Linked DNA regions of Caenorhabditis elegans. The protein of the gene in region 2 binds, or shares a complex with, the protein of the main gene of each other region. Each region holds a gene or a part of one and is shown on either strand. Other genes may lie near its edges.

What was found.
Region 1: rod-1 (region 2) and czw-1 share a complex: the UniProt entries of both Caenorhabditis elegans proteins name them as parts of the RZZ complex.

The regions. Positions count from the first base shown.
Region 1 is NC_003282.8:7,943,051-7,948,115, forward strand, and holds czw-1 (Centromere/kinetochore protein zw10 homolog), read right to left. Parts: upstream 3,543-5,065; 5' UTR 3,526-3,542; coding exon 3,232-3,525; intron 3,189-3,231; coding exon 2,632-3,188; intron 2,578-2,631; coding exon 2,035-2,577; intron 1,987-2,034; coding exon 1,176-1,986; intron 837-1,175; coding exon 705-836; 3' UTR 570-704; downstream 1-569. Other genes in the region: F20D12.12 (uncharacterized protein), read left to right, coding at 4,421-4,454, 4,861-4,904. UniProt on the Caenorhabditis elegans protein: Essential component of the mitotic checkpoint, which prevents cells from prematurely exiting mitosis. Required for the assembly of the dynein-dynactin and mdf-1-mdf-2 complexes onto kinetochores.
Region 2 is NC_003282.8:7,476,724-7,484,499, reverse strand, and holds the start of rod-1 (Kinetochore-associated protein rod-1), read right to left. Parts: upstream 6,049-7,776; 5' UTR 6,048-6,048; coding exon 5,951-6,047; intron 5,896-5,950; coding exon 5,743-5,895; intron 5,696-5,742; coding exon 5,400-5,695; intron 5,343-5,399; coding exon 4,950-5,342; intron 4,907-4,949; coding exon 4,238-4,906; intron 4,187-4,237; coding exon 3,986-4,186; intron 3,938-3,985; coding exon 2,636-3,937; intron 2,589-2,635; coding exon 2,340-2,588; intron 2,296-2,339; coding exon 1,794-2,295; intron 1,751-1,793; coding exon 1,336-1,750; intron 1,291-1,335; coding exon 1,110-1,290; intron 1,062-1,109; coding exon 900-1,061; intron 854-899; coding exon 581-853; intron 529-580; coding exon 1-528. Other genes in the region: pycr-4 (Putative pyrroline-5-carboxylate reductase 4), read left to right, coding at 7,211-7,319, 7,378-7,631, 7,700-7,776. UniProt on the Caenorhabditis elegans protein: Essential component of the mitotic checkpoint, which prevents cells from prematurely exiting mitosis. Required for chromosome segregation, the assembly of the dynein-dynactin and mdf-1-mdf-2 complexes onto kinetochores and spindle pole separation.

The DNA.
Region 1 (5,065 bases), 470 kb from region 2:
GACAGGAATTTATATTTTCAAATAAAACCAATGAAATAAGATTCGAAATATCACCTAGGAATCAAGCGATGTATCAAATTTCATTTAAAAAATGAGTAAGTTAATATCCACCAAAAGCCAAACATATAAAAGACTACAGTAATCATGGCACTTCAAAAAACGCGAATTGTTTATTACCACTTTTCATTTTCTTCAGGAATATGAAGAAAACGGAAAAAAGGAAAGCTGTTGCGATGTGGTGGATAAATGCAGAAGCTGCAGAGAGAAATAGAATAGAATAAACAAATAAGTAGAGTAGAACGTATTGTCGCCCGCCCGGGAAAGGAAACGGGCGGCCCTTGCGGACGGGATTAAAAGTCACAACTGGTTCAATGTGATGAAGCTCGACTTTCGCCTTCATCTGTGCCACCATCATATGACATACGCCTTCTGGTGGGCGCCCCCGACCTTTCAAAGTGGCGTCTTGTTGTCTGCACTCTCCAGAGGGCGCCAACGGAATGCATTTGAAAAAAGTTGGCAACATTCCAAGGCTATTGTGTCGAGTGCGAACTGATCGGAAACCGTCACCGATGTTTAACTTTATTCAGAAAACATTGGGGGAAACATACTGGAAACCGGTAAAACAGTGAAACACAACGCCAGTTAAAAATTAAAAATGAATAATGTATTGGCGTGGAAGAGAATATGAATTAGTTTAATACACATTATAAACGAGCGATAAGATCAGAACGATGTTGCGAGTCGGCGAATAATGCTTTAATCAGTCCAACAACTTCGGATCGGCTCAAATGTTCTGCCATTGGACCCTTAGCGTTGAACCATCGATGCTCGATATCCTGAAAAATTAGCATAAAAATTATTTATAATTTCTAGACTTTCGGAACAAAACACATGTAAATTTCATATTTATGTTAAATCAAAACATCAAAAGTCGACGTCCGAAACAAGGGTGTTTTTTTGATTTTTCACTATTTCAAAAAGGGTAACTTTTAATATTTTCCTTTTTCCAATATTTGAAAAAATCCAATTTTTGAAAATAAATTGCTTTAAATATTCGCAATTTCACTTGTTTTAGAAGAACTTTTTTATTTTAAAAAAGTTTCTCTAAAGTTCCATGGTCAAAACTTCACTTTCATCAAAACAATACTTTACACGATATTTGAAAAAAAACCAACCTGCATTCTGTTTCCAAGAACGAACACAATTTCATTAAGACGGAAATACTCTCGAGCACAGAAATCGGTCACTTTTGTCTGCTCCTTATAGGCGACAATATTGGCAACAACTTCCAAAAGTCTTTTGAAAACGTCAGCCATCACGTTAGCATCATTTTCGCGGAAATCGGAAGTGGTGACAACGTGGCGCACAAGAGAATCCAACAGGAACGAGACGAGTGATCCAATCACCTTACAGTATACCACCTCAGTCAAAGGTTCACGAAGATTTTTTGCAATAAGGCGAATATGAAGAAGGCAGGCGGCAAGACATTTGATAATTTTTGGCTCTTCTCTCGGAACAAGAATATCAGCCGACTCGGACATCTCTTCAGCAGCAGCAAATGTATTCTTTGTAGTCTTATAACTTGCAGGCAAGTGTTCAAAGATGCTATGATCCTCCAAATAAGCAGTCATTTCGCGACGGCATCTTGTCAGTGTCTTTTCCATGCAATCAGCGGCAACAGTACGCAATCTGATAACAGAATCAAGGAGCAATGGTTCCAATAACGTCTTCTGATTGTCACCACTAGCCTCAAACGACATCGTCATAATGCAGTGTGATATATAATGACAGTTGTTGTAAAAAATGGCAGCCATGTTCGGGATCGAACTGAACAACTCAGCATGCTTCCTTGGTGTGAGAATCACGTAGAGACGAACAATATTCTCGGCGGTAAGAGCGAGTTTCGCACGAGCACCTTCATCTTCACAGGCAAACGCAGCCTTCACGTTATCACGGAGAAGATTGACAAAGTTGATAGTTGATTCACTGAAAATTATTTTTTAGAAAAAAATAATAAACACTTTAAAAAATTACCTGACTGTACATTTCTGGAAAGCGAAGAATGATGGAAACTGCGAATCTTCATTATGGCTCCAAAGACGTCCAAGATCTTTTCCATATTCTTTAGCAAAATGTTCGGCATGTGTATGAGCCTTTGCAAGCAAATCAATATCCTTGATGGCTGAATCATCAACTCCAACTGTAACCAGTTTGTCATACGTTTCATTTATCAATTTATTCGCTTTTGAAACGATCGCAAAGCAACGACGAGTCACAAAAATTGTGTCCGTGTCAAGAGTGAACAGCAACTTTGCTTTCTGAGAAAAGAATCCGAGCTCCTTCATTCTTTCGACAAAGACCTCTCCAATTTGCAACAAATTAATGAACATCTCCTGATCTTCGTCAGCAGTTTCAGTGACGGGTGCTGCAATCGCAATTACATCTTTCAGTATCATAGTTATCAGTTGTTCCTCAATAACGCTTCCGATCATCGACGTGAAAGTCTTTCCAGTCGCGTCCAGCAGTTCGTGAGAATGAAGAACGGAGTGCAACTTCGTAAAAAACACTTCCATTGACCTGAAACAACCATATTTAATTAAATTTCAGAATTTTAAAGTGGTTTTCGCTCACTCGAGAACTTTTGCGACATCAATAGTCTTGTCCTTCTTGCCACGTGGTTTTTGGTTTATCAAGAATCTTGTCTGATCAGGTGTTGGATTATCCACAATATATACGTCAACACCATCGCGGCTAGCAACAATCGCTTCACAGAACACGTTCAAGATAACGATTTTCCAAGCGTCCAGTCGTTCTGGTAATTGTCCAATCATATTCATAGCACTTAGAGTTTCGTTCAGCATTTTCTGATCTTCCACGCTTCCAACATTGAATACTGAGAAAGAAACATTTGTACGATCTCCACATTTCTGTTTTGACAGTTTTGGAACATTCATTGCTCTTTCGTAGTCAGCGGACAATTGGTAACGACAATTGTAGCTTAAAACCGAATATTCTGCGGCAAAATGCTTCAATGGAACACTCATGTCGAAACCGTCTCGTCCAATTCCTTCAAGCAGCATGTTTGTGTCATTGAGAAAATCTTTACAAGCAAGAATAGCAGTTCCCCATTCTACACGATTCGTTGTTTTACTCCGCATAATTATCAATTGTTCTTCGACATTTTTCATCTGAAAACTCAATTGTTTTATATGCTTATTTTCGAACCATTACCGATTGCAGGAATTCCACCAGATTTTCGCAGCTTTGAGCTTGGGATTTAATCTCTGCGAGCATTTCGGGGCTGTCCTTTGCTGTCTGATCAATTAAGTTAGACAGATTTCGAGTAGACATTTCAGCTATATCCTCGAGGTTCTCAAGTCGGTCGAAAATAAGCTTGGCTGTCGCGTTAACATTGAGTGACACTTTCAGGTTTCCATACTTGTCCACAATGTCCTGCGAGATTGAAGTAAGTCCATTTTTCAGTTTTTTCTCAAGATCTCTATAGGATCCCTCGGATGACGCCATTTTTTAAGTTTCACAGCCTGAAAAAGAAAATGTTCTACGGAATTATTAACTAACAAATACATGAAGACAAGAGCATTTAAATTTCCCGCAAATAGAAAACATAAAAACGACAACGAGACACCGGTGCGCTCACTTTAGCAGAAAAATGTTACTCACGCGTTCACAGAGATGAAAATTAATAACGGGAGATGAGTTGCAGGCAAGTGACTGGGGAAAGAGTCAATTTAAAAAATGTTTAATTGAGAATTCAGCATTCGTGATTGCTTACTTTTTGAAAAAAGAGCGCCGCGTGAATAAAAACAATAACGTTTCTATGAAGAATAAGATCTTATTACGTATAATTATTACGTTGCAACGCGTTGAAAATCGATTTTAAAATCCTTTGAACGATAAAAACAAAAGTTTGTAAAATGATTTGAAATCGAAATCAAACTTCGTTCCACGCGCGCATAATTATGATTATTGGCGCCAATGTACGGTGTACATCCGTGTTTGCGTACTTCGGACATGCAGACAACGAGAGACTGAACAAAACTGAGACCCGAAGAACTCGGGGGATGTCCAACTGGGGGGATTCCCAACTCGGGGGATTGGCCACGCCCACAGAACCGTGCCTTACAATACGCCCATTTCTGCAACCTCCGCACGGTTTTGAATGATGATTTTCTTCATTGTTTTTTGGGGGAGAAAAATCAATTTCGACTCTAAAAAGTTCAATTTGAATTGTTTTTCTTCGTTTTTTTCAGCCATTTTCGCAAAAAAAAGTATTTTTCAACCGTGACTTGTTAATTCGCCCTCCTTAATTCGTGTATTCCTTTTGTTAATCTCTTTCCCTCTCATATTTTATCAATTTTTTTAATTTCTAGACTTCGTCGAATCGAGGGAAATTGCACGGATGAAACAGGGATGTGCTTCTCCAGGCCACCCACGTGAGTATTATATTCTCAAATTGTAGAAAGTAGGAAAAAATTGATTTAAGAACAAAAATTGAAATAGTTTAACAAAAAATTAATGAAATATCTTCGGATCGAACATATATGGACTTATAGAGGCATTGAAATCGTTGAAACAGCTATAATTTGCTGTCACTGCTCTTTTGAAGTCGGAATTTCTGTATAGTGGCGGGCGATCAGTTCTTTTCGATTGTACGTCTCTGTGAACGTTAAGACTCCAAACCGTAGACTTCTCAATTGAATTGTGTAGAATTTTGTAATTGCATTCATTTAAGCCAAAAGCCTCTAAAAACTAAGCGAATCTGATAATAGACCAGATAAAATCTTTTTTCATTTATATATCAGCGATGTCATTATGAAAGTTCTAATTTAAATTTTTCAGATCCGCCCGAGCTGCTCATCCTCCAAATTCTTCCGTTTTCATGACAAATTATTGTTTTTTTGTTGAAATTATGTAATTCATTAAATGTAATATTATCCTTATCTGTAAATAATTATCATGATCAATAAAATATCGCTCTTAATGTTCAATGAATAGCTTGCAAACCAATTTGTACAATAATTTCATTGAACAATTTCCTTCGGCT
Region 2 (7,776 bases):
ATTTTCAATGTTATCCGCAGTTTTTTCATTGTACAGTCCATTCTTTTTCAGTTCAAGTTCGGTAGAAAACTTTGCGATTCCGTCTTTCAATCGAGCACTTTGTTCTTCCATTTCCTGTTGTTCTTCACCAGTTAAATCAGAAGTCCATCTCTCCGAAATATTGACTCCCATTTGAAGAAGTTCAATTTTAACATCACTGAGAATGATTCTTTTGAATAGAAGAGCGATCGTCGAAACCACAACATGACGTTGAGACGCAGAATTAAGAAGTTCATAAATCACGTTTCGTTCTCCATCTGGTAGACTCTTTCCAAACTTTGCATATTTGTTGGCGTGAGCAAAAATTGCAGATGACAAAAGTTGCGAACGCGAAAACCGTGAGGATAGCCAAGAAACTTCACGGAGGAATGTTTGCCAGATTGGAACATTGAAGATCGATAATTCTGCTTTCACAATTCCCATCACAATTTCGTCAATTTCCTCTTTTTTGCGAAGAAGGAATGCATGGAATGGAAGATATTGCTCCGCCTAAAATTAAAGAATATTTTGATTTCAATTAAATGATTGCCAGTCGACATACAAGGCTTGGCAGATCACTGATAATCACACTGTTCCTCTCATAAACCATGGCATCACTTGAAAGTGCCAAATCCGAATTATACGAATCTGACATATTGCTTCCGTCATCTTCATAGACAACACGAAGTGAATGTCCAAATGGATCGAGCATTCTTCCAGTTTTCTCAAACTCTTTCTCATCTTTCATTAGAACACTCTCTCGCTTCGTAAACCAAATTGATTCCTCATTACTGATATGATTTGTACGTTGATAAGCCCATAAGAATGCCATTATCTGAATCATTGATGAATTGAATTTTATTTTTTAAATATTGGCTCACCGATTTCAAGTTTTTATTAAATTCAATCTCGACTGTTTCAGTGGCATACTTTCCATACGAAGTTACAATAAATTGGATGACTTCGTAGTTATATGGACACACAACGTAAAGCAAACAATGGAGATAATTACAAATGCAAGAAGCATCTTCTTCCTCGGCAATCTGAAAAGAAAACAGATTTTCAAAAGATTATCACTCAACAACTATTACTCTCAACGCGATTCTAGCTGCTTCGATGTACTTCTCTATTTCTTCTTTGCGAATTTCCCGATCAGTGTGTCGTCCAGCAACAGACGCTTTTCGAATGAGAAGAGTCGCATATCGAACCATGTATTCTCCAACTGAAATCTTCGAGTTCCGAATCAACTTTTCGACATACTTCTTGACATAACTGAAATATTCAAAATTATTTTTTCTATTATTTTATGAAACTCACTCATGAAGACGCAATGGAGAGAGTGGCTGTCGCAGATCTATCGCCTGTTGTAGAACTTTATCGACAAAGTCTTGAGTAATTGAGACACGAATGCCTTCTTCAGCAAGCTTCTTCACCAAATACTTTTGTTCATAAGCAGAAACGATTGTGGGAACTTTTTCCATATTTCTAGCCAACAAACTCATCACAAAAGCTAATTGAAGATACTGGATTGTCGCTTTCGTCGAACTTCTCACACCTTGTCGTTTCTGGAGATCGATTATAGCTCTGTCTAATCGTTCCAACGGGATTCCACCAAGAAGAGTAACTGCATGCCAGAAATCGAATTTTTTCTGTTGCAGCATTCTTTCGACGACTGACAGAATGGGTTGCTCCATTTCAACGATTCCTTGTAGATATTCACCAGCCCAACATTCTGAAATGAAAAATAAAAAATTGAAAATGGAAATAAATCTTACTGAGAGATCCGGCAAACACACGAGCTGAAATATCCAGAAGATCTTGTGAATGCATTGCAAGGAACATGTTTAGTTGCTCCCAACTTGATCTGAATTCATTCGCATCATCTGGTGAGATCTCAGAATCATATGGCCTGGCAACAGAAGGTGCAACCATCGCAAGAGCAAGAACTCCTTGAACTCCTTCAAATAAAGCTGGATCGTTGGAGAAATCAAATGTTCCCAGTGGGCGTTTGAACTCAAAAATGCGGAGAGATGACTGATTGGAAAATGGATTCGAAGAATCAGTTGGTAAGAATGTATCATCGTCTGATCTGAACATTTCTTGCTTTTCATTTTCATTCTCTTGGCCTCGTAGTGACTGCTTGATAATGTGCTCTCCCAAGTGATAAAATGCTTCCAATTGTAGAAGATAATCAAGATCGTCGCTAATAACATCAAAAGAGAAGCGTCTGAGTGTCTCCCGAACAACACGGCCGATACGTTTGACAACGAAAGCAATCTGAAAATCAATTATTTTTATAGTTTGCAGAAACCATCACTTACATAGTCAGCACGTGCCATCTCAGTCTCATTTGGTAGTAACTTCGGAAGTCTGAATGTAATCCAGCTCAGAATTTGCACGATAGGTTCAAGCATTTCCCGAGAAGAATCCGTCAATGAATTTATGAACTCGACATAATTCGTGATACTATCAACAATTGTGTCCATGTCGTTTTCTACCGTAGCTTTCGTTAAAATCATTTCAATGAGATGTTCCGGTGAAATTCCCATGTAGCTACATCTTCCAAGATTCTGAAATTAATAATAAAAATATTCCGTTCATATTAAATAAAAATTACCAAGCTCATCGACGAATTTGATTCGATCAATCTTTCCAAGAACCGTCGCTGCCAATCTTCATCTTTCAATTCAGACAAAAGAACTGCTTTAGTCTCAGTTTTCTGGACTTCGCGAAGAAGGACAAGCTCATCCTTTAAACGTCTTTCAGGATCATTGAAATTATTATCACGACATGTATAGTGAGACATCAGCTCTTCACCAACCCCGAGGATCTTTTCGCGTTCCAAGACGTTGTCTCCAGTTGCTGGTGCATTGGCAACGCATTCGATGAATGAAAATACAAGAGATATTGTCTTTACTCGTTCACGATCGCCAAGACTATCAATGTAATTGATAATTGAAATGGTTACATCTTGATGAGACATCATATGAATAATTGCAAATGATTGCACATATTCAATTCTCAATGTACGAGGTTGAGAGCTTCCTTGCATTGCTTTGAGCAAATCCACCAACTTGATCACATCCACAAATCGAGAAGCCTTTTCACGATGAGCAAGCATGCAGCGAATTGTCAAGATAATGTCCATATTTGAGTCAGGAGTAGTCAGCAGTTCGATGTCCTGTCGACTGAAGCCATACGACGATAACATCTTGTAGAGTTCGGTACGTTTACAAACCAAATGCATTTGTTCAATTTCTGATCTCAGGAGTGTACGACTTGCAAGGATCTTCTCCACAGCTTCATTCAGTTCAGCTGGCCATGGAATCTTAGCAGTTGAAGCGATCGAGATGATGGAGCAACAACGTCGAGTTTCATCCATGAGACTTGCACATAACTGCACACATTGTTTCTCCCATCCAAAAAGATTTGCATTTGTCACTGCAGCTCCTGACATCATCTGGATATAATTGACGATTGTTTGTTCCTGATCAAGATGACGTTCAGCCATGAACGGCTTCACGAATTTCTCAATTTTGGCATGTGTCATGTTTGGGTTGGCCAACGCATTTTGAAGAATCTTGTGGCAAATTTGTTCAGATGACATATTTTGGAATACTGAGAAACTGATTGAACACTCGTAAACATCTTTCAGGCGTTTCAATTCAATCAAATCATAGTATATCTTCTTGATCCGTGACATTGACGAAGGCTTGTTACCGGCAGAAGATCCCAACTTGCTTCCATACATTACCAGAATACATTGTGTAGCTGGAGTATTTCCATTGTTCGACAATATTTTGGTCATGGTATCGTAACTGCTTGCTGCTTTGATTGCATTCTCAGGCCAATTTGTAGAATCTCGATATTCAAGAAGTGAAATAAGAGAAGTGATGAGTGATTCGAGGCATGGAATTAGCTGAAAAAGAAAGATTTAAACATAGTTAAATTTTAATTTAAAAATCACCTCTTCTGTAATCATGACACATGCTGGTAAAATGTCTGTCGTTACGTGTTCGATCACATTGCTCCATTTGCTGATATCAGAAGAAATCGCATCGATGAACATTCGGAAAAGTGTTTCAAGACGAGAAATGGTGTTCTCCTCATCATCACACATATAATCAGTTATAGATTTCCCATGGCGACTGAAGATAACACGGGCTTGCTGAAAAATTGTATGATTGAGTACAAAAAACTTCATAAGATTGAAACTGACAGTGAACTGGGCGTCAGAAATGAATTCATTATAGATTTCGATCCACGGGTTCGCATCATGCAAAGCTTCGACGAACAAATCCCAAATCGTTTCATTAACTTGTGGACGACTTGGTTCGTTTTCTTCTGGACCAGCAATGATTCGATAAGTTCCCCACGTGTAGCAAAGTGCCTCAATCATTTTCAGAATATCCAGATCCGTTATTCTGCGCTTCTTTGCATGAGTCAAGTAGGTGCGGATACGATCACAGCGCCGACTCATTCCAACAAGAGTGAAGTATGTTTCAGCAACCATATTATGATCTTGAATTTGTCCCATCTTCGTCATCAGAGTCTCAAAAGATTCATCGCTTTCATCACAAGAGTCCATCAGATAATGTACGTGTCCTTTGTAAACCTTTTGTACATCCAGCATGAATGCCATGGCGAACTTCTCAGCTTCTTCAAATCTGTTATTCTTCAGAAGAGATTCGAAACGCATTTCAGGGCGAGACTGTGAGACTTGTCTGACAACAATTTGACTGCCGTCCTGTTCGTCTGCCAGAGAATTTTCCAATTCTTCAACGGCTATCAAGACACGATCACTTCCTCCATAAGCAAAAAGAGTTGTAGACGTGGATGAATCCAAAGCGAAACAATTGTCTTTATTCAATCGATCGTATATCATCATCTAAAAAGAAATTATTAAAATTTAACAAATACGATTCAAATACCTTTGTGCTATCTCCGTCACGTGGCAGAACCAAAATTGCGAACATCTTCGGAACTTCAACTTCATTCTTGTCAATGATCACAAAATCAAGAATTTTGTCGTCTGGAGACATCTTCATGTCAAATTCGTGGCAGAAGGATGATACCAATGAATCAAAGACATGAATCCATCCATCCGTGTCGAGGTGAAGAGAGAATCTACCTCCATCACGGACTTGCAAGAATTGTTTTTCCATGCCAATCACCTCAAACTCCGATTCGACGAGACCACACCAGTGAATCCCTCTTTGCTGATCAATTGAAGCGAACGTCTGAAGTGGCCCATTGGAGATCAGAGTAATGTCACCTGCGACCTTCGACATGTCAACAGACTTTGAAACCGTTTTTCCCATTGCCTGAAAAGAGAGTATTAAAATTAATTTGAAACTTTAAATGAATGTGATGAGCGTTACCTGGTGGAAAAATTCCTGAATCTGATCTCTGTGCCAATTTTCGAAACGGTTAGTCTCCTTAGATGCAGCCACGTCTCCTGGCAATGTGATAGTATGCCAATTATCAGATCGGCTCCCGAAAATCAATTGGCAAACACTGGAAGTAGTGTGACAGACAACGAAGTCAATTTCATGAGGAGCTGGCTCGTTCAAGTAAATTTCTTGTTTATCCAGCGAGAGAATTACAATACGACGATGTTCAATGACTCCAACAAAGAAGGAAGAACTTCCAAGGATTTCGAAATCAGTGATGGCTCCTGAAAATGTTGAGAAATCATTCCAGAGACTCTGAAATAGCTCATACCTCCAAGTCCGGTGTTGAACGAGTAGTCGCTTTTCTCGCCAAGACTGAAGACTGCCAGATCGGAGCACGACGCAAGAACAAGAAATCGCTCGTTACTTTTCGGTTTGAGCTTCCATGCCGGAGATTTCTTATCGATTGACATCTCATTTAACACTGAAACATACATTTAATTACATTAATCATAAAGATAATAGTTTTATTTTCTTACGGGGAAGGATTCGCCCAACGGTGCACACATCATAAAGGCCCACAGTCGACGTTTCCGCTTCCAAGTCCACAGCTTTTGCTTCGCCTAGGCGACCCATTCTGCAAATACGACATTATAATACACTGGTATCTCTAATTAAAAAATTTAACAGAAGAACGATTATAAAAATGAGTGAACAATTTCATTTCAAAAAATGTTTTTCGCCGCCGAAATAAGTGTCAGCAGGGCGCAATTTCCAAGTGTTAGAGTGAGAGAAACAAGACTTTTTTGAACCAAATAGTTGAATTTTGAAGCAAAAAACCAATAACTAAACACGAAAAGCGTTTCAAATCTCATACATTTCCTTACCTTTAACTGTGTTGAACAAAAATTAAATAATGAAAAACAATTAACACATTCAGTAAAAATTGATCGAAACGTGGAAATTACGTGTTCCTAACTATACAGCTTTTTTAAACGTAATTTTAGACCGGAAAACTTCTTTAAATTCAGAAATTTCACTATATTTATCAAAAATAAATAGTCTGAAACGATTTATTAGGATGAGGCGAGAAAATAACTGAAAATTAAAATGATATCCAAAAGAATTAAGATTCGTGTAAATATAGAGAAATTCGCGCCTAAAATTTGCGCGGGCAGGCGAAAAAAGACCGTAGTTTTTCGTCCCAAAACCCATCTCCAATATTCAGCATGCGCCTTTAATATGTCTACCGTATCTGCTCAGATGTTTCAAGTTTTTATCATAAATAAAATAATTTTACATTTTTTAAAGAAATTTTGAAGTGTTTATTTTCTGTGTTTCACCTGTTCCTACTGTTTTGTTCGTGGTTTGAACGTTTTGAATTATTTTCCAGAGCAGGATGACAAAACTGAACCGATGACAAATATATTTTATTATCTATACGGCCTCTGGAATGATGACAAAATAATCATCTAGGTGACTTTCTGTGCCTTTCACGGTTTTAAGATACAAATTTTTATAGAATACTAGTTTTTCATGTCAATTTCGGTACTAAAATGATCCCAGCATGTACCATAATATATCTTATTGTAACTTTTATATAAATGGAGACTTAGACGTCTAGACGTCTAACAAGAGACATAAAATAGAACCCAGTTATATGTTAAACGCACAGAGACGCAGTTGAGAAACAGAATCTCGTTAAGCGGGCAAACCTCTGCTCATGTCTTCTTCTTTTTTTTTTAATATGTTGCTTTTTGTTGTGTCAAAAACAATTATTATTGATTTCAGTCAAAACCATGACTATCGATACTGAATTGACAAACGGGTCCTCAGAGTCTGTGCCATTCGTGTTCATCGGAGGTGGAAATATGGCCGCTGCAATTATAAAAGGATGCCAGAATAAAGGTGAGTTAAAAAATTGTTCTCCTCGTTGATTTGAATTAAATTGTTTTCTAATTTTTAGGCTTTACACCGAAAAGCAATATTGTAATTGGCGTTCAAACGGAAAAATCGGCTGAGAAATGGAGGCAACTAGGATATAAAAACGTTTTCACAAACACACTGGAAATGCTGGAAAGATATTCGACGGCAATCTATGTGATTTGTGTGAAACCTCAAGTTTTCGAAGAAGTTGTGTCAAGCTGGCCTGTAAACTCAAGACCAGAATTTATTATTTCTGTAATGGCTGGAGTTCCATTAAAAGTTCTCAACGCGAAGGTGATTACTATAAGCAGTTATAAAATAATTTTAGAAATCATAATTTGCTGTACATAACATTTTTCCAGTTGCCATTCGTTTCGGGAAACACTACCATTGTTCGTTTGATGCCAAATGTAGCAAGTTCTATTGGAGCCGGCGCCTC